3 linked regions of the Anolis sagrei genome follow. The protein of the gene in region 3 purifies or fractionates together with the protein of the main gene of each other region. This does not show direct contact. Links are inferred from orthologs where the notes say so. Each region holds a gene or a part of one and is shown on either strand. Other genes may lie near its edges.

Region 1 (7,085 bases), about 170 Mb from region 3:
CTGAAATCCACAAGCATGTAGACAATTTCAACAGGAAGGAAGAAATCATGAAAATGAACAAAATATGGCTACCAGTATTTAAAAAAACCTCTAAAATCAGGACAGTAAATAGACAGCAACACTCAAAAAGCAGGGAAATTCCAGGCAAGAATCAATCAGGGTCAGCTTACGCCTCCCAAAAAAGGATTTGCCCAGGCAGGGAGCAGCCAGTTTTTGAAGCTACGAGGCTATTCAATGCTAATCAAGGTGGCCAATTGCAACATTCAAACTTGACTCAGGCAGACAAGAGTTCTTTTTCCCATTATGGACATTACACAGATATATAAACACCCTTGCTTTATTGCAGTGCATGAGCACACACTGTAATAAATCTTGGTAGTCTTTTACGTAATTCAAAACTCTGCTGTATAGACTTTGTATTGTAAGGTATATTGGATGATCTTGCTGAGGATCCAATGAGCAATTCTCTATGCCAGGCATGGGAAACCTTTGGCCCTCCAGGTGTTTCAGACTTCAACTCCCACAATTCCTAACAGCTTCATGCCCTTTCCTTTTCACCAGACCTCACTGGATGCCTGCCATAGTTGCGGGCAAAACGTCAAGTGAGAATGCTTCTGGAACATGGTCATGAAGCCAGGAAAACTCACAGCAACCCAGTGATTCTGGCCATGAAAGCCTTTGACAATACATTGGATTGTGATTGCTTATTTTACACCAGAGTCCTTTTCCACTCTGGGTTTATGATCTGAAGCCTTGGAGAAGAAACAGGCAACCTCAATTTTTTTAAAAGGGGGAAAATGCTACCTTCTGCGCCCATCCTCCTCTTGGCTCTCTTGTTGAACATCAAGAAAACCAAAGTGCTCTTCCAGCAGTCACCAGCCGATCCCTCTCCAATGCCAAAAATACAGCTTAATGGTGTAACATTAGAAAATGTTTACCATTTCCACTATCTTGGCAGCCACCTCTCCACCAAAGTCAACATTGACACTGAAATACAACACCACCTGAGCTCTGCAAGTGCAGCATTTTTCTGAATGAAGGAGAGTGTGTTTGAGGACCAGGACATCCATATGGGCGACCAAGGTGCTTGTTTATGAAGCCATTGTCCTCCCAACCCTGCTATATGCCTGCAAAATGTGGACTGTCTACAGACATCATATGCAACTCCTGGAATGTTTCCATCAGCGCTGCCTCCGAAAAATCCTGCAAATCTCTTGGGAAGACAGGTGGACAAATGTCAGCATGCTGGAAGAAACAAAGACCACCAGCACTGAAGTGATGCTTCTCCATCATCAACTCCGCTGGACTGGCCGCATTGTCCGAATGCCTGATCACCATCTCCCAAAGCAACTCTGAACTCAAGAAGGAAAAGGATCTCTTCGATCTTCTGGAGAGGCCCTCCTTTCACCCCTTCCTCTATCACATGCACGACTTGTGGGAACGAGGGAGAGAGCCATCTCCGCAGTGCCCTCTCCCCCCCCCCCCCCCAGATCTAGAACTCGCTGCCTTGTGAAATTAGGCAAGTCCCCACCCTAGCAGCCTTTAAGAAAGATCTAAAAACTTGGCTCTTCCAATGTGCCTTCGGAGAGTGACCATACAACCCATTTTGTTTGTTTCCATCTACAGTTGTCCTCATGATGCACTTTCCCCTGTCCTTAATAAAGGCCAAACCCCACTGCTCCTCCTTCTTGGGCTCTTCCCTCACAAATACACTTTTTAATACACTTTTTTATTCCTATCTCACCCAGGATTTTAACATTTTATCTCGTGCATTTGGCCCGGCCTTTGTGTTTGATTTTATTATGTTATTTCATGTATTTTGTTGTGATGTAATTTTTCTGTTGTTTTGTGTCTAACTTTGCTGTATTATTTTTGGGGCTTGGCCTCATGTTAGCCACCCCTTTAAAGGAGATTTAAAGATGGGCTTAAAACCAACCTTAAAAACTGTGGCATAGACACTGAGAACTGGGAAGCCCTGGCCCTTGAGCATTCTAACTGGAGGTCAGCTGTGACCAGCAGTCCTGCAGAATTCAAAGAGGGACGAATGGAGGGCGAAAGAGAGAAACGTGCCATGAGGAAGGGACGTCAAGCCAACCCTGACCAGGACCACCTTCCATGTGGAAACCGATGTCCTTACTGCAGAAGAACATGCGCATCAAGAATAGGACTCCACAGCCACCTACGAACCCACCGCCAAGATACTACACTTGGAGGACCACCAACCTCGAGCTACGAGGGATCACGTAACAACAACATAGCCTCTTGGCTGCATAGCAATTCCCATGCTCAATGTATTATCGAAGGTCTTCATGGCAGGAGTCACTGGGTTGTTGTAGGTTTTCGGGTTGTATGGCCATGTTCTAGAAGCATTGTCTCCTGACGTTTTGCCTACATCTATGGCAGCCATCCTCAGAGGATATTAGGTCTGTTGGAAACTAGGAAAATTGGAGAGAATGCTTCTACAACGACTCAATTCCCATGCTCTTTCCCAACGGCATCCAAAGCCTTTTCCCTGCGCCTGCCTATTGAGCATTTCCACACCACGGCCTCCCTCCTCAGACCTTGAGGGCTCCTCCCGCGGAGAAGGTGTTTGGGGTGGGAAAGAAAGGGCTTGCGTTGCATCGCCTTCTCCCTTTGATGAACTGTTGCTACTTGTAACAAAACTTTCCAACAGAGAGGGCAAGAGAGGGCAGCATCCAGAGAGAGGGGAACTTTGTCCCGGGCAACCTTTCTTCTCTCCCGTCTTTGGCAGAGAGAGCTCGAACTCACCTCATTTCAAGCGCGCGCCCGCTTCACTCCGGGAGGAATCGGGAGGCGTCGGAAGGAGTCGGAAGGAACCCCCTCCCCTTTGCCCAAAGCTCCCACTCGCCCTCCTCGCCAAGCTTTGGTCTTTCGGGCGAGGAGGGCGTCGCAGTGGCCTTCCGTCTTTCCCAAGGCGGCTTCTGCTCCGGGACGCACCGGCCGGCCGCTCCCGCTTCCTCTGGGCCAGCCTCCCTCCTGGTGCCCCAGCCCCGCCTTCCCAGCCAGGCAGGCCAAGCCCCTCCCTCGAAGTCCTGCCCATCGGACGAAGAGAAGGGGCCAGGCCTGGACCCTTTCAATGCCCAGGTTATGGAATTTAGGCAGCTTGACAACACTTCCACTGCTCCAGGGTCGTAGTTTGGTGAGGCAATGGCATGCTTTAGCAGACCAGGCATGGGCCAACTTCGGCCCTCCCTCCAGGTGTTTTGGACTTCCAACTCCCACAATTCCTAACAGCCTACAGGCTGTTAGGAATTGTTGGAGTTGGAAGTCCAAAACACCTGGAGGGAGGGCCGAAGTTGGCCCATGCCTGGTCTGCTAAAGGTAAAAGAGTTTCCCCCTGACATAAAGTTAACTCTGGGTTTTGGTGCTCATCTCCATTTCTATGCCGAAGAGCCGGCGTTGTCCATAGACGCCTCCAAGGTCATGTGGCCTGCACGACTGCATGGAGCACCCTTACCTTCCCACTGATCTACTCACATTTGCGTGTTTCAAACTGCTAGGTTGGCAGAAGCTGGGGCTAACAGTGGGAGCTCAGCCCACTCCACAGATTCTTTTTTTTTTTTTTTGCATAATATTTATTGTGAGTTTTTCCTTTAACAATGAAAGAGGGGGAACAGTCAGGGTGACAGGAAAGTAGGAAATTGGAAGAGAGATAGGGTAATGGAGGAAGGGGAAGGGGTTTGGTTGGGGGAGTCAAAATCGAGAGGATCAAAGCACCAGTGTAAAAAAGAAAATTAAGGAGAGAGAGAAAAAAGAAAGCAAAAAGGGTATATATTAATGACTTCCAGTTTAGTCCACAGAGGTACGATCATTAAATTGTATAAGTCTTCTTATGGTCTCCTTCGTTCTATGTTCAATTTAACTCATAGTACCAAATGTTATATATTGAGTTTGATTTTTTCTCCTAGGTATTCTCTTAGTTGGTTCCAGTTTATTTGCTTTTCCTTACTCTGTTCCTTCAGTAGGTAAGAAAGTCTATCCAAGTCCATAAATTCAACTCCTCAGATTCGAACCTGTAACCTTTCAATCAACAAGTCCTCAGAAGCACTTTAACTCCTCGTTGGATTGCTCTCCCTACACTATCCTTTAAAACCCTCCTGCTTAGATACATCCAACCTCTGTTCACACCCAGTGTATATTTTAAAATTTTAATCTATTCAATCTGGCCCAGCCATAGGTTTTAAATTTTTGTGTGTTATTGCCTATTTATTTATTTATTTATTTACTATATTTGTATACTGCCCCTCTCAGCCCAAAGGTGACTCGAGTTATATTAATTGAATTGTTTTATTTGCTTACTGCTTTGTTGTTTTATTGATGTGTTGTTGGGCTTGGCCTCATGTAAACCGTCCCAAGTCCCCTTGGGGGGATGGTGGCAGGTATAAATAAAGTTTTATTGTTGTTGTTGTTGTTATTATTATTATTATTCAGCAGTTCAGCGGTTTAACCCATTGTGCCACCAGGGGCTCATGCCTGGTATAGATGCCAAAAAGTACAGGCAGTCCCCAATATAGGTTCTTAAGTTGGATTTGTATGTAAGCCAGAACAGGTACATTTTTAAAGTGTAACTAGCTTTGGATTGCACAGGGAAGGATTAACACCCCTGTGGTGTTTTTCTTGCGATCTGTACCCCTGTTCAGAAGATTTCACCTCACTTTCTGCCCCTATAAGAATTGGATATTGAAAAAAATGATGTGTGGAAGCAAGGATTGGCAAGAAAGCTTCAACTGGGGCACCTTTTCTCCATGATAACTCTCTCAGGAGTCTTTTCCTTAGGCAAGGGATCTTCAAGAGGTGGCCTTGCCACTTTTTCCCCTCTGAAATATACCCACAGTGCCTGGTATTTTTTGGAGGTCTCTCATCCAAGTACTAACTTAGTTTTGAAGATCAGATGGGATCTGGTTACTTTGGCATTTCTATACCATATTATAACATTGTACCTAAAATATCAGGAAATTTCAAGAGTGAATTTCCCTTTCTGAGGAGTAAATTTCTCTCACTTCCTGGTATCTCACCAATGTGGCCCCTTCCACACAGCTGTATAAAATTCACATTGAACTGGATTATATGGCAGTGTGGACTTAAATAATCCAGTTCAAAGCAGATATTGTGGATTGTCTGCCTTTATATTCTGGGTTATATGGCTGTGGAAGAGCCCTGTGTTGTTTTTAAGATGGATGTTTGTAACTTGGGGACTTCCTGTATAGAACACACAGGATGGCCCCCTTCCCTGGGTTTATCGGTCTTGACAGGGTTGGTGCCACTCTACGTTGTTACGCATGGTGTCAGCAACATAGACCTCTGCTGGCTTCAAGTCATGGCAATCCCATTGATTTAATGGGATTTTCTTTAGCAAGGGATATTCAAGCGGTGGCTTTGCCACTTTTTTTCCTCTGAATTATACCAACAACACCTGGTATTTGTTGGTGGCCTCCCGTCCAAGTACCAACTTAGTTTTGAAGATTAGATAGAATGTAGTGCCTTTAGAGTACTTTGTACCTAACATTGTACCTAAAATATTTTTGTACCTATAACATTGTACCTAAAATATTAGGAAAATTGAGAAACACATTGATTTCCCCCCTACCCTTGTTTTATGGTTCTTAACTGTGACGCCACCAGGAATGGTGCCACACAGTGTAGTAATGCAAGTTGTCATCCTCCTGAACCATCTCCTGAATCATTTCATGTGTTCCTTCAAATACTTCATCACTTAGTGGTTCTCAACCTGGGGGCCCCAGATGTTTTTGGCCTTCAACTCCCAGAAATCCTAACAGCTGGTAAAATGGCTGGGATTTCTAGGAATTGTAGGCCAAAAACATCTGGGGACCCCAGGCTGAGAACCACTGCATGATTAGAGGAGGAATCCACTTTAAATCCGGTTTCTGCCTCCTGCAGAATTCTGAAGTTTGTAGTTTAGTGAGGCTGTTAAAGGCTCCCCCCTAAACTACAAACCCCAGAATTCTCAGGAGGCAATATCCGGATTTAAAGTGGATTCATTCTCTAGTGTGATTAGGTCGCAAGTCATCTGTTGAGTTATGGTGATCACATGAATTTCATGAGGTTGTCATAGTCAACAGATACTCAGAGGTGGTCTGAAATACAGCAACTGGCCTTCATTGGGTATCTCCCATTCAAGTACTAACCAGGCTGGCTCTACTTAGCTTCCGAGTTTGCATGGGATCTTGTGTCTTTAGGGTACTGTACCAAACCAGAATATTGTAGCTAAAATAATAGGACATTTAGCAAAATCAGTGAGTTAATGTTTTTATATGCGCATGTGTTTTATTTTATTGTATTTTGTATTGTGCTTCATTTTAATGTTTGGTGGTGGGATATCAGAATAAAGTAATTATTATTATATGTTAAAAAAAATAAACAGCAGCAACAAAAACAACAATATGCCTGTGGTGCTTGCAGATGAAACCATATGATTTGAAGTTTTGTTGTCACAGGATGATAATAACAAGTCTGTCTGGAGCACGTGCCCATTAGATTAAAGAGTTCAAAAAGTTAATTAGCATGAAGTATTCACATATACTTATATAGTATGCAGTACAGGTAAGGTGGACTTATGAAACCTGTTTTTTTGTGCTTAAATTTAACTGCCAGCATATTTTTATATAAACAAATAAATTTCTACTGAGATATCACACACAAATGTTATGTCATTTGGTGTCACTCCCAGGGCACCATGCAGTGTAGTTTGAACCCTGTACACCTCCTAATCTGAGTTTTTGGCAGATGTAATTTAGCAGGGAAGGGACCTGCTGCTGCCTCGTACTTGGAACCAAGGCTCTGGAAAGAGAATAAAATATGAAAGGGGAAGCTTAAAAAGGGGATCTTTACTTTGTGGGGGCCAGGACTAATAGTTCATGCTCTTCCCTCCTTCACAGGCCTCAGGACTTGACAACAGTGCATCCTGAACAGGGGTGGTGCAACCCATTACGCAAAGTAAGCATTTGCAGTATAGTTGATTTTGTCCAGGGGCACTCTTGAGGTACTCTTGGGGGAAAATAGACCTTGACATATGTGAGTTGTAGTTACTGGGATGTATAGTTCAC
Region 2 (7,681 bases), on a different chromosome or scaffold from region 3:
TGACCCTTGGGGATATATCTCACAATTACATCTTTGTCTGGGTGGCCATCTGTCAAGAGGGTTTGGATGGTGTCTTCCTATACAGCAGGACTGGATGACCCCTGGGGATATATATCAATTACATCTGTGGCTGGATGGCCATCTCTCGAGAGGGTTTGGATAATGTCTACCTATATAACAGAATGGGCTTGGACTTGATGACCCTTGGGACACACACACACACACACACACACATATATATAGAGAGAGGGATTTTTGTCTGGATGGCCATCTATCGGGAGGGTTTGGATGGTGTCTTCCTATAGAGCAGAATGGGCTTTAGTCTTGATGACTCTTGGGGGATACACACATATCACAATAACATCTTTGGCTGGAGTTGGAAAGGCACCCCAAAGGCCATCCAGTCCAGCCCACTTTTTTTCTGCCAGGCATCATCCAAACCCTTCCAACAAATGGCCATACCAGCCACAGATGTCATTGATATCCCCCAAGGGTCATCCAGTCCAAGCCAATTTTCCTGTATAGGAAGACACCATACAAACACTCCCAACAGATGGCCATCCAGCCAAAGATGTTATTGTGATATGTGTGTATCACATCTTTGGCAGGATGGCCACCTGTCGGGAGAGTTTGTATGTTGTCTTCCAATAAAGGAGAATGGGCTTGGACTGGATGACCCTTGGGGGATATCAATGACATCTTTGGCTTGATGGCCATCTGTTGGGAGGGTTTGTATGGTGTCTTCCTATACAGCGGAATGGGCTTGGACTGGATGACCCTTGGGGGGGGGGTATACATACATACATATATATATATATATATATATATATACATATCTCAATTACATCTGTGGCTGGATGGCCATCTGCTGAGAGGATTTGGATAGTATCTTCCTATAGAGCAGTATGGGTTTGGACTTGATGACCCCTGGGGTGTGTGTGTATGTGTGTATATATATATACACACACACATATCTCAATTACATCTGTGGCTGGATGGCCATCTGTTGAGAGGGTTTGGATGGTTTCTACCTATATAGCAGAACGGGCTTGGAACGGATGACCCTTGGGGGATATCAATGACATCTTTGGCTGGATAGCCATCTGTCGGGAGGGATTTGACGGTGTCTTCCTATAGAGCAGAATGGGCTTGGCCTTGATGACCACTGGGGGGTACACGCACATACATACATATGCATCAATGACATCTGTGGGTGGATGGCCATATGTCGGGGGGGGGGGGGGTTTGAATGATGCCTGGCAGAAAAAAAGTGGGCTGGACTGGATGGCCTTTGGGGTGCCTGTATGATATAAGCATCTCTCTCTCCCTATCCAACTCAGTGACATCTTTGGCTAGATGGCCATCTGTTGGGAGGGTTTGTATGTTGTCTTCCTATATAGGAGAATGGGTTTGGACTGGATGACCCTTGGGGGATATCAATGACATCTTTGGCTGAGTGGCCATCTGTCAGGAGGGTTTGTATGGTGTCTTCCTATACAGATGAATGGCTTGGACTGGATGACCCTTGAGCGATATCAATGACATCTTTGGCTGGATGGCCATCTGTCGGGAGGGTTTGTATGGTGTCTTCCTATAGAGTAGAATGGGCTTGGACTGGATGATCCTTAGGGGATATCAATGACATCCTTGACTGGATGGCCATCTGTCGGAGGGGTTTCATGGTGTCTTTCTATAGAGTAGAATGGGCTTGGACTGGATGCCCCTTGGGGGATATCAACGACATCTTTGGCTGGATGGCCATCTGTCGGGAGGGTTTGTATGGTGTCTTCCTATAGAGTAGAATGGGCTTGGACTGGATGATCCCTGGGGGATATCAATGACATCTTTGGCTGGATGGCCATCTGTCAGGAGGGTTTGTATGTTGTCTTCCTATATAGAAGAATGGGCTTGGACTGGATGCCCCTTGGGGGATATCAATGACATCTTTGGCTGGATGGCCATCTGTCAGGAGGGTTTGTATAGTGTCTTCCTATACAGATGAATGGGTTTGGACTGGATGCCCCTTGGGGGATATCAACGACATCTTTGGCTGAATGGCCATCTGTCGGGAGGGTTTGTATGGTGTCTTCCTATAGAGTAGAATGGGCTTGGACTAGATGACCCTTGGGGGATATCAATGACATCTTTGGCTGGATGGCCATCTGTTGGGAGGGTTTGTATGGTGTCTTCCAATATAGGAGAATGGGCTTGGACTGGATGCTCCTTGGGGGATAACAACGACATCTTTGGCTGGATGGTCATCTGTCGGGAGGGTTTGGATGATGCCTGGCAGAAAAAGTGGGCTGGACTGGATGGCCTTTGGGGTGCCTCTATGAGAAAAGCATCTCTCTCTCTCTATCTCAGTGACATCTCTGGTTGGCTGGCCATCTGTCGGGAGGGTTTGGTTAGGAATGGTGGGAGCTGAAGTCCCAAACCCGCGAAGGGAAGGCCCAGGTCGTCCCAGGCCGGCTCTCGGGGCTCACCTTCGAGGAGGACCTCCCTCCCGGCGCGCTTGAGGGCCTGCACGGCCTGGTCGTGGGTGGCCTCCCGGAGGTCGACGCCGTTGACGGAGAGGATGGCGTCCCCGAGGCGCAGAGCTCCGCTCCGCTCGGCTGCCAGCCCGGGGAAGATGCGCGAGATGAGCACGGGCATGCGGTTCTCGCGCCCGCCCTTGATGCTGATGCCCAGCCCGCCGGCCTCGGCCTTGACCACCCGCACGCGGCGCACCCCCGGCGGCGGAGAAGGCAGGAGCGGCGGGGAGCCCGGCGAGGAGGGCGGAGAAGCCGAGGCGGCCCCTCGCAGCTCCGGAGAGCTGGACCCGGCCTCGCTGCGCCGCCCAACTCCGGGGCTGCCCCACTCGGAGCCGTTCGGGAGGCCGTTCAGCGGCGGCTCCGGCTCCGAGCTGAGGATCAAGGCCTCGCCGCTCAGCTCGGCCAGCGCCCGCACCCAGCAGCGCTCGCGGAGCAGCACCTCCACCAGGCCGGCCTTGCACGCCCGCGTCCACACCGCCATCGGGGGAGCCGAGCGTCGCGCGTCCTTCTCCCGCCGTAGCTCGACTCAGACTGAGCCGGCGTCTCTCAGGAGAAAGGGGAGGGGTCTCCTCGGAGATGGCCCATTGGCTGAGAGGCAAAAGAGGCGTGGCCTCTCAGGCTGAGAAAAGGGGAGGGGCCTTATCCGAAGCGTCCCATTGGATGTCAAGGAAAAGAGAGGCGGGGCATAGTTAAAAGTTGGAGGGGAGGGGAACGAAAAGGGGCGGGGCCTCCACTACAAAGTCCCAAGTGAGGGAGAGGCGGGAGGAGGAGGGAACTAAGGCTGAGAAAAGGGGCGGGGCCTCATCCACACCGTCCCATTGGGCGACAAGGAAGAGAGAGACGGGGCATAGTTAAACCCCCGCGTTGGAATGGAGGGGAAAGAAAAGGGGCGGGGCCTCCGCTACAAAGTCCCATTGGTGCCAAGTAAGGAGAGGCGGGGCCTAGTCAAACGAGGGAACCTTAAAGGGGCGGGGCTTGAGCCACAGCCTCTATTGGGTGCCACTGAAGGGAGAGGCGGGGCCTAGCCCAAAGCCCGCGTTGGAGGAGAGGGAACAGAAAAGGGGAGGAGCCGCAGCCACAGAGTCCGATTGGCTGCTAAGGAAGGGAGAGGCGGGACCTGAGTTGGAAGGGGAGGCAACCGAAAAAGGAAAAGGGGCGGGGCAACTAAGGAGGAAACCCATTGGCTGGGAGGGAAAGGAGGCGGGGTGAGAAAGAGGGAGGAGCCTCACCCTTTGGGAGGCGGGGCGATAAGAAAGGGGCGTGGTCTCCTGGAGAAGACAAGGGAGGGAAAAGAGGAAGGAGCCTCATTGGCTGTAATGCTAGAGGAGGACAATAGATGGGAGGGGCTAATTCAGAATGGGGAGGAGCAAGAGGAAAGAGGCGGGGCCTGGCTAGGTAAAGGGGCGCGGGCACATCTTAACACCTCTCAACAAAAGATTTTCCCAGGCTCAGCCAGGCCTTCAAATGCTAATGAAGGTAGTCAGTTGAAACATTCACACCTAGCTCCAGCAGGGAAGAGCTCCTTGCCCCACCCCAGCCATTTCACAGATATATAAACCCATTGTCCTATTTCCAACAGACCTCACTACCTCTGAGGATGCTTGCCATAGATGCAGGCGAAACGTCAGGAGAAATGCCTCTAGAACATGGCCCAATAGCCCGAAAAAACCCACAAGAACCTAGTGATTCCAGCCATGAAAGCCTTCGACAATACGTTTAATCTGTTTATATCAGTGTTTCTCCACCTTCCTAATGCTGCGACCCCTTAATACAGTTCCTCATGTTGTGGTGACCCCCAACCATAACATTATTTTGCTACTTCATAACTGTAATTTTGCTCCTGTTATGAATGGTAATGCAATTATCTGATAAGCAGGATGTTTTTTTCACTATATCCAATTTGGCACAAATATCCGACATGCCCAAATTTGAATAGTGGTGGGATTGGGAGGAGGGGGGATTGATTGATTTTGTTATTTGGGCGTTCGAGTTGTTGGGATTTATAGTTCACCTACAATCTGAACTCCAACAATAATTGAATTGAACCAAACTTGGCACACAGAGGCCGCCCTAGGTAATTTTGGATGGTAAGCAAACAGTAATTTGCCCCCCCCCCCCAACCAATCACTGATATATATTTTCTGTTTGTCGTGGGAGTTCTGTGTGCCATATTTGGTTCAATTCCATCATTGGTGGAATTCAGAATGCTCTTTGATTGTAGGTGAACTATACATCCCAGTAACTACAACTCACATATGTCAAGGACTATTTTCCCCCTAGAGCACCCCTGGGCAAAATCAACTATACTGCAAATGCTTACTTTGCGTAATGGTTGAGCCGCCCCTGTTGGCACACAAAACTCCCATGGCCAACAGAAAACATTGGAAGGGTTTGGTGGGCATTGACCTTGAGTCTGGAGTTGTAGTTCACCTCCAGACAGCACTGTGGACTCAAACAATGGTGGATCTGGACCAAACTCTACATGAATACTCAATATGCCCAAATGTGAACACTGGTGGAGTTTGGGGAAATATACCTTGGCATTTTGGAGTTGCAGTTGTGGGATTTATAGTTCACCTTCAATTAAAGAGCATTCTGAACCCTACAAAGTATAGAATTGGGCCAAACTTCTTATACAGAACCCCCATGACCAACAGAAAATACTGTGTTTCCTGACGGGCTTTGGCGACCCCTCTCACAGCCCCTGGTGACCCCCTCAGGGGTCCCGACCCCCAGGTTGAGAACCACTGGCTTATATGAACTAGGTGTTGCCAATATCAAGCAGGTAACAGGTAAACCCCCGGTGCCACAGTGGGTTAAAGCACCGAGCTGCTGAACTTGCTGATCAAAAGGTCACAGGTTCGAATCTGGGGAGCGGCGTGAGCTCCCGCTGTTAACCCCAGCTTCTGCTAACCTAGCAGTTTGAAAACATGCAAATGTGAGTAGATCAATAGGTACTGCTCCGGCAGGAAGGGAACAGTGCTCCATGCAGTCATGCAGGCCACATGACTTTAGAAGTGTCTACGGACAACACCAGCTCTTCAGCTTAGAAATTGGGATGAGCACCAACTCCCCAGAGTCGGACACAACTGGACTTAATGTCAGGGAAAACATTTACCATTACCTAACAGGTAAACATTATTATTATTAGAAACACAACAAGATCACTCTGCTGGCTGTTGTATTGGATCACACGTCGGACCCTTCCCAAGTGTCTAGGACTGTGTGATGTATCAGCGAATAATGCATGCAGATCCAAGTAGGGTAGCCTTTTGCAGCTGACAGATGGTAATTTTGTCAGCACTGATTGTTTTTAAGTGTAGGCCAAGGTCTTTAGGCACTGCACCCAGTGTGCCAATCACCACTGAGATCACATTTACTGGCTTGTCCAAGTCTTTGCAAAATTATTATTATTATTATTTTACTGACACAGTATGTAACAGCAAATTAGATCTATTTGCTGGATTTCATGTCACAAAATCACAAGTCGAACACTTCCCATGTGTCTAGGAATGTGTGATGCATTTACGAATGAGGCGTGCAGATCCAAGTAAGGTGGCCTTTTGCAGATCATGATTTCGTCATTTATTATTATTATTATTATTATTATTATTATTATTATTATTGTGGGATTGCTTTTTGTCCCATTGAATGTCCTCAAGTGCCTCTCAGGGCACAGAGAAGGCAGGATTTGACCCCTGATTTGATCTTTGATCTCGCAGCGTGAGGTCCAGCAGCCAGAGCTTTGCTGCTGATCCTCGGGACAAGGAGGAAACGGCCTATTTTTAATTCTGAAGGCTATGTAATCGTCCGGCCTCCTGAGGACATCTCCTTAAAGGAGGGAAGAGACACCATTTAATGCTCTTGAGCAGGAAGGGATCCCGCCTGGGCCTTGGAGCCACTTCTAAAAGAGGAAAAGTAGCATATAAATACAATTATATACCTGGTCAATTTCAAATCCTATTACTACTGTATTTCAATCTTTGTTCCACATATTTTAATATATGTATTTTATGGTAATGTGTTTTCATATGTGCATTGTATGTGTTTTATGGTGCTGCGTTTATTGTATTTATTACCCACATCATTTAATGAGGGTAATGTTCCACCATTACTTACTTACTTACTTAATTAATTAATTGAAACACAAGATTAGTACACAGCAAACAAGATCGCTCTTCTGGCTGTTTTATTGGATCATCCAAATGTCTAGGACTGTGTGATATTATCAGCGAACAATGTGTGCTAATCCCAGTAAGGTGGCCTTTTGCAGATGGCAGATAATGATTTTGTGAGCTCCAATTGTGCTTAAGTGCAGGCCAAGGTCTTTAGGCACTGCACCCAGTGTGCCAATCACCAGTGGGACCACCTTGACTGGCTTGTGCCAGTCTTTGCAGTTTGATCTTTAAATCCTCGTTTTGTGTCAGCTTTTCCAGTTGTTTCTCTTCAATCCTGCTGTCGCCTGGGATTACAACATCGACGATCCATACTTGTGAGGTCAGGAGTATTATTATTATTATTACTGGGCCCCTGGCGGCGCAGTGGGTTAAACCCTTGTGCCAGCAGGAGTGCTGACTGACAGGTCAGAGGTTCGAATCCCTGGGAGAGTGGGTTGAGCTCTCTCTGTCAGCTCCAGCTCTCCAAGCCTCCCACAAGGATGGTTAAACATCAAAACATCCTGGCGTTCCCCTGGACAACGTCCTCCTCCTCCTCCTCCTCCTTAAAACACAGAACATGTCACTTTTTTTAAAAAAAAAATGAAATTTCAAAAACACATAATGCAAATAGTAACACTTAAAAGTAAAATCACTCAAACCTATTGCTATTTTTATTATATGCATTTATACCTTGCTTTATTTCCCGCGAAGGTGACTCAGTGCCCTTCCAGAAAGGCCCTATATCCTAGGATCTGATCCCAAGTTTTCTGCTTTAAATTGGATTATATGTGTCCAAACTGCCAGAGAATCTGGGATAAACAGAAAACCTGGGATCAGATCCTCAGATATAGGGCCTGTCTGGAAGGGCCCTCAAAGTGGCGATTAAAATAATAAAAATCCCATTATTATTATTATTATTATTATTATTATTATTATTTGAAACACAACAAGATGAGTCTACAGCAGACACTCTGTTGGCTGTTGTATTGGATC
Region 3 (7,297 bases):
TCTGAGTTCACACTCCGATAATGTGGGATTTTCTGCCTTGATATTCTGGGATATAGGGCTGTGTGGAAGGACTCTAAAAGGCTGTTCCTGGGGGTGGCCTCAGAGCTCCGTGGTGCCTGGAGAAGGATGTGCAGCCAAATAGTGACCCAGTCCCTTAGCCACAGAGCGGCTGTGCAGCTTTCAGGCCACTGTGGCCAAAGGAGAAGTAAGCAACCTGCTTCTCAAATTACCCTTGGAAGCTCTTGCCTGTTCCCCTGAGACTCAGCCCCACGTTTCCTAAATAGCCTCATTCCCAGGGCCTTCAAAACCTCCCCCTTGGTTTTGAAGGCCTTGAGAATGAGGCCGTTTGGGAACTGTGTGAGGCTGAAGAGTTCACCAGCCTTGGCCTGACAGAGACATAGCTTCCCAAATGGCCTCATTCATGCTGACTGCCTTCCTGACTCACTATGCCTTTACTGCTGGGTGCATTATATTCGACTGAAAATCATTGAGGTGTGCATTAAATTCGACGGCACATTATACTCAAGTAAATACAGTATATCTGATATTAGAAATGGAAACAATAAACTACAAAAATATACCAGTTGCAGAGCATTTCAACCTGCTTGGACAATTTGTGCAGTGCATAAAAACTAAAAGAAGCCTGGAAAGAGAAACCGCTGAATTTGTTGTTGTTTATTCGTTCAGTCATTTCCAACTCTTTGTGACCTCATGGACCAGCCCATGCCAGAGCTCCCTGTTGGCTGTCACCACCCCCAGCTCCTTCAAGGTCAATCCAGTCACTTCAAGGATGCCATCCATCCATCTTGCCCTTGGTCAGCCCCTCTTGCTTTTTCCTTCCATTTTTTCCAACATAATTGTCTTCTCTAAGCTTTCCTTTCTTCTCATGATGTGGCCAAAGTACTTCATCTTTGCCTCTACTATCCTTCTCTCCAATGGGCAGAACTGCTGAATTAGGATGTATCAATAAATTCCAAGCCATAAACAATGGTTTGTTGACACACTACATATATTAAAACATTACAGCTTTCATCACAGCCATACATATGCAAAGATACTCTCCTCACACCTGTTTTATGACAAGATTTTACAGGCCCTGCACACATACCAACTCACTAGGTAAAAGCCATTCCTCCGGTCTACATGTGTTTATCTGAGCAAAACCTGACTCCCAACTATGTCCTTTCAACTACTCATCACAATCATTGTTAAACCGGTAGTTGTCACCATTCCAACATGTTTTGCATTGACAGATATTGCTACTACATGTTTTGCATTTCCACTATCTTTTACATTCCTTCCATGTATTTTTGGTATACATGCCTGCCCAAACAGGGTTTATTATTTATTATTTATTTATTTATTCAGAACTTTTATATCCCAGTCTTCTCAACCTCCGCAGAGGAACTCAGGCCGGCTAACAGAAAATGCATACACAAGTAAACTAATAACATCATAACATCATAATACAGTAAAATAGCAACAGAATAAATACATAAAGCCAAATCGACAAGATAAAATCACATTCATCATAGTCCGCCAGTGTGGTCAGTAGTTATTAGGTTATTGTTGACGCCAATCATTCTGAGAATGCTTTGCCCCAGAGCCAGGATTTCACTAGCTTTCTGAAAGTCAGGAGGGAAGGGGCAGATCTAATCTCCATCAGGAGAGAGTTCCACAGCCAAGGGGCCACCACCGAGAAGACCCTGTCTCTCGTCCCCACCAGACACGATTGCAAAGGTGGTGGGACCGAGAGCAGGGCCCCTCCAGAAGATCTTAACAACCTTGATAGTTCGTAGGGGAGAATCCGTTCGGACAGGTAAACTGGGTCGTAGCCGTTTAGGGATTTATAAATCAAAACCAGCACTTTGAATTGCGCTTGGAAACTAATTGGCAGCCAATGGAGCTGACGCAACAGAGGAGTAGTGTACTCCCTGTACCACGCTCCTGTTAGTAATCTGGCTGCCGCTCTTTGGACTAATTGCAGCTTCCGGGCAGTCTTCAGAGGCAACTCCACGTAGAGAGCATTGCAGTAGTATATACGGGATGTTACCAGAGCGTGGACCACTGTGGCCAAGTCAGACTTCCCAAGGTACGGGCCCAGCTGGCGCACAAGTTTTAATTGTGCAAAAGCTCCCCTGACCACCACCGAGACCTGGGGTTCCAGGCTCAGCAATGAGTCCAGGATCACTCCCAAGCTGCAAATCTGCGCCTTCAGGGGGAGTGTAACCACGTCAAGCACAGGCTGGATGCACACTGTCAAGTATAGGCTGGATGCACACTGGATGCACACTGTCATATAATGCAGTTTGGAACTGCATTATATTGTCAGTGTAGATCAGGCAAGGGCAAACTTGGGCCCTCCAGGTGTTTTGGACTTCAACTCCCACCATTCCTCACAGCCTCAGGCCCTTTCCTTTGCCCCCTCAGCCGCTTATAGTCCAAAACACTATTTTATCGAGATTGGTCATTGCTCTCCTCCCAAGAAGCGTCTCCTGATTTCCTGGCTGCAGTCTGCGTCTGCAGTAATCTTTGCACTTAGAAATACAAAGTATGTCACAGCCTCCATGTTTTCTCCCTCTATTTGCCAGTTATCAATCAGTCCGGTTGCCATAATCTTGGTTTTTTTATGTTTAACTGCAACCAAGCCTTTGTACTTTCTTCTTTCACCTGGATTAGATAATATATTGTATATACATATAATATTTATAACACTATAATGTAATACAATATAATACTACTAATAATGCAATATTATAATTATATATTTTATATTACATGTAATATTACTAATAATATTACAATATAATGGTATAGTACAATATAGTAATATGTAACACTGATAGTGCTGTTTTAATAATATAACATATTGTTTGTGTGTGTGTGTGTGTGTGTGTATATATATATATATATATATATATATATATATCTTGTAAGCCGCTCTGAGTCCCCTTCAGGGTGAGAAGGGCGGCATATAAATGCAGTAAGTAAATAAATAAATGAATAATAAGGTTCTTGTGGGTTTTTTCAGGCTATATGGCCATGTTCTAGAGGCATTTCTCCTGACATTTCGCCTGCATCTATGGCAAGCATCCTCTGACCGCATCTTGGCCTATAAGCCCACGAGGACTTTGAGATCATCCGGGGAGGCCCTGCTCTCAATCTCGCCTGCCTCACAGGCACGCCTGGTGGGGACGAGAGATAGGGCCTTCTCGGTGGTGGCTCCTCGGCTGTGGAACACCCTTCCCGTGGACATCAGATTGGCCCCTTCCGATGATATTCCGCAGGAAATTAAAGACGTGGCTGTTCAAGAAGGCGTTCGAACAAGAAATCCAATAATTGGTAATGACGACAGGAATGGAACGACGGAATATAATACTGGATTGTGGTGTAACGATGAGATTATGCGAATGGCTTTTTGTATTATTGATATTGATGTTGTTGATGTTGTTGATGACGATGCTTTTGTTATTGCTGGATTGATTTTAGATTGTGTCTTGTAATTTGCACCCTGTCCTCTCTATGTTGTACACCGCTGTGAGTCGCCCCCGGGCTGAGAACAGCGCTATATAAGCACAGTAAATAAATAATAAATAAATAATAAATAGAACATGGCCATATAGCCCAATAAAAACCACAAGAACCTAGTGATTCCAGCCATGAAAGCCTTTGACAAAATGAATAATAGCCGTTTGACACCGCTCAGTGTCAATCTACTATGTGCAATATTTATTTACTTTATTTCTATACCGCTTTTCTCAGCCCTCAGGCGATTCAAATATGGCTATATCCAGAAAAGAAAAAAGGCTAAAGAGGAGAATGAGTTGTCGAAGGCTTTCATGGCCGGAATCACTGGGTTGCTGTAAGTTTTTCGAGCTGTATGGCCATGTTCCAGAAGCATTCTCTCCTGACGTTTCGCCTGCATCTATGGCAGGCATCCTCAGATTGTGAAGTCTGTCGGACACTAAAGAGGAGCTTCAACGCAATGCCTATGTGCCCTGCCGTTTCTCAGCCCCAGCATTGCCGCTAGTCTCTCCGACCGCAAGGAAAACCTTCTCCTTTTCCCTTTCCCCGTTCAAATGACGTCAACAACCCCCGCGCCTGCGCAGTACAAACTCTTCGCCGTTTCCCCGTGAGGGGAGTTGTGGGCGTGGCTTTGCTCGGAGCAGGGAGGAGGGAGGAGGAGGAAGGAAAAAAAAAAAGCCAGCTCTGCTCCCCTCCCCAACTTAGCCCTGAGCGCGAGAGCGCGCGTTCTAACGTAAAGGGAGGATGCGCGCGCATGCTTGGCTCTGGGCGGTTGCGTGACTGATAAGAAAGGTGTCGGCGGCCGCGGCGGTGACGCGCAGGCGCGCGCGCACGCACCCTGTCTCCCTCTGTGTTTCTCCCTTCATCAAACGGCGTTGGGGTGGCGCGTGGACGGAGCCGCGCCTTTCTCTTCGCCTGGGCGCGCGCTCTCTCTCTCTCTCTCTCGTTTCGAGGAGGGAGGGAGCGAGTGTGTGAGTGACTGAGGGAGGGAGTGAGTGTGTGTGTGTGTGTGTGTGTGGACAAGAAGCGGGGGAAGGGAGCGAATGAGGGGCTCGCTCTGCCTGCCTGCCTGCCGCGGTTTCATCCTCCGTCTCCATCCCCTCCATGGATTAATCCCCGGCGGCCAAAGGTGAGAAGAAGGAAGGCGAAGAAGAAGGAAGAAGACGACGACGCCGGGAATTGTGAGGGACACGCGGGGAAAGGCTGCGGCCCACCGCAAGGAGCGGCCACCGAGGGGGGCTTTTCCTAGCGCGGCCATTGGAGGATTTGGCCGGGATTTTAGCGCGGCGGCGGCGGCGGGGAGCGCGGAGGAGGAGGGGGAAGAGGAGGAGGGGGACCGTGCCCGCGGCCCCTCCCGCCCTGGGGCGGCTCGCCTCCCCCCCGCCGGACCATGGCCGACGACGATGTGCTCTTCGAGGACGTTTACGAGCTCTGCGAGGTGATCGGCAAGTAAGTAGCAGAGGCACCCATGGAGGGGAGATGGAGGAGGCAGCCGCGGAGGGAGGAGCGGCGGTGGGCTGCAAAGCCTCCTCCCCGACCGCGCGGGGGGAGGGGGGCAAGGAAGGAAGGATCCTCGGGAACCGCTCGGGGCTCTTCCCACCTGGGGAAAGGGAGCCCTCTCCTCTCTCCCCCCTCCTCCGGCCACCATGATTAAACGGGGCTCCTGCAGCAAAGCGGGGCTTCTCCTCCTCTCTCTCTCTCTCTCTCCTACAAGGTAGACAAGGCAGGGACGGGGTGTGTTTCTCCTCCTCGGCTCCCCTCCCCCTCGCTCTCCTTCCCTCCCTCCCTCCCTCCTACCAATGCCAGGTGCCTTCCTTGGGCGCTGCTGCATCATCAAACCGGCTCGTTAGCGGCGATATAAAGGACACTCAGGTAATACTCGGGTGCTTTTTTTCCCATCCCCACCGTGGATACATACACACTGTAGAGGTGACACACTTTGGGCCTTTCCACACAGCCATGTAACCCAGAACATCAAGGCAGAAAATCCCACAATATCTGCTTTGAACTAGGGGCCCTTCCACACAACCCTATATCCCAGAATATCTGTTTTGAACTGGGTTATCTGAGTACACACTCAGATAATGTGGGATTTTCTGCTTTGGTATTCTGGGATATAGGGCCATGTGGAAGGACCCTGGGTTATCTTGGGCCCTTTCCACACAACTGAATAAAATCCCACATCTCTCTGAGATATATGGCAGTGTGGACACAGGGACCTTCAACACAGCCCTATATCCAAGAATATCAAGGCAGAAAATCTCACAATATCTGCTTTGAACTGGGTTATCTGAGTCCACACTCAGATATTGTGGGATTTTTTTACCTTGATATTCTGGAATACAGGGCTTTGTGGAAGGGGCCTCAGATAACCCAGTTAAAGTATTCTGGGATTTTCTGCCTTGATATTCTGGATTATATGGCTATGTGGAAGGGCCCTGAGCCCACACTGCCATTTATTCCAGTTCAAAGCAGATAATGTGGGATTTTATTCAGCTATGTGGAAGCTCCCTTTGACACCACTTTAACTGTCATGGCAGAACGCTATGGAGTTGTGGGAGTTGTAGTTTGGCGAGTGACTAGAGAAGGCTAAAGACCTTGTAAGGTGACAACTCCCATAATTCCATAGCATCGAGCCATGGCTGTTAAAGTGTTGTCAAACTGCATCAGTTACACTATGCAGATGCACCCCCAGTTGGGATAAAGCTGGAAGGCCTTTCAAAGGCAACAACCACTTTTGCAGAAAACTAAAGTTGCAAGGGTGGTTGGCTGAACTGCCACTCAGGCTACCTGGAGTGTCCAGTTTGACAGGCGGTTTGAAAATGCCAGGCCAAGTGGTTTGTCTTGGAGAGGGAAACCAAATAAGCTTGGTAATTGAAGGAGATGAAAGCAGAGGTTTTTGTTTTTGTTTTTTGTCTTCCCCAATAACTGTATCATAGTGGGAGATCTGGGACTCTTTGTGCTAGAATAAAAATTGTAGTAGACATCTACTGTATCACTTTAGTAGCTGAATAACTTTACCTTGTATCCATCTGAAGATGTTTTGGCAGTTAAGTGAGTTTGTTGCCATTATGATTTTGTAAGGGCAAATAAATGTTAAGGAAAACATTTTTGGTTGTTTCTGCTATGATTGTTACATTCAGAATGAAAAATGACTTGTTACTGCAAGAGGGTGTATGAGAGAAATATTTTGTAGCAAGATTGTTGTAATATTTCTTCCAAAGATGTAATTTCATGTAGCTGAAGTTGGATACATGTGATCTTGTTAACATCCTTTGCCAAACTCCTGCTTTTAAAAATGCTTTATGTTTTTTGTGTTCCAGGTTCTTCCCAGTTTCAATCATTTTTAAAATTCTGGCTATTAGAGCAATGTTTGTATACATGGCAACATTTAGTCAGAATCATATCTACATCAGTAAGAAATTCCTATTGGTTTGTTTGGAAATATAATTATGTTGTTGGTCCCTACTATTGTTGGTAATACAGGGTCAATATCCTTTATATGAAATGCGTACAACTAGAAGTGTTTTGAATTTTTTATATTTTCAGATTTTGGAATATTTACAATTGTATATATTGTATGTACATGAGATATCCTGGAGATGAAATTCAAGTCTACACACAGAATTCATTTATATTTCATATATACCATGTTCACATAGCCTGAAGGTAACTTCAAACAATATTTTTAATAATGCTGTGCATGAAACTAAGTTTGTGTGCATAAAACCACCAGAACACAAAGATGTCACTTTTTCAGCCTTCCATGTGG

What was found.
Region 1: the proteins of CASK (region 3) and ARHGEF26 purify together in Homo sapiens (affinity purification with mass spectrometry; 3 studies listed by BioGRID and IntAct, with this or other methods). This does not show direct contact. The link is inferred for Anolis sagrei from reciprocal best matches to the Homo sapiens genes CASK and ARHGEF26.
Region 2: the proteins of CASK (region 3) and SNTB2 purify together in Homo sapiens (affinity purification with mass spectrometry; 3 studies listed by BioGRID and IntAct, with this or other methods). This does not show direct contact. The link is inferred for Anolis sagrei from reciprocal best matches to the Homo sapiens genes CASK and SNTB2.

What each region holds. Positions count from the first base shown.
Region 1 is NC_090023.1:243,005,407-243,012,491, reverse strand, and holds the start of ARHGEF26 (rho guanine nucleotide exchange factor 26), read right to left. Parts: upstream 3,002-7,085; 5' UTR 2,775-3,001; coding exon 2,770-2,774; intron 1-2,769. UniProt on the Homo sapiens protein: Activates RhoG GTPase by promoting the exchange of GDP by GTP. Required for the formation of membrane ruffles during macropinocytosis. Required for the formation of cup-like structures during trans-endothelial migration of leukocytes.
Region 2 is NC_090028.1:28,607,802-28,615,482, reverse strand, and holds the start of SNTB2 (beta-2-syntrophin), read right to left. Parts: upstream 3,056-7,681; 5' UTR 3,013-3,055; coding exon 2,484-3,012; intron 1-2,483. UniProt on the Homo sapiens protein: Adapter protein that binds to and probably organizes the subcellular localization of a variety of membrane proteins. May link various receptors to the actin cytoskeleton and the dystrophin glycoprotein complex.
Region 3 is NC_090023.1:77,991,291-77,998,587, forward strand, and holds the start of CASK (peripheral plasma membrane protein CASK), read left to right. Parts: upstream 1-4,294; 5' UTR 4,295-4,915; coding exon 4,916-4,974; intron 4,975-5,350; exon of another isoform or gene 5,351-5,397; intron 5,398-7,297. UniProt on the Homo sapiens protein: Multidomain scaffolding Mg(2+)-independent protein kinase that catalyzes the phosphotransfer from ATP to proteins such as NRXN1, and plays a role in synaptic transmembrane protein anchoring and ion channel trafficking.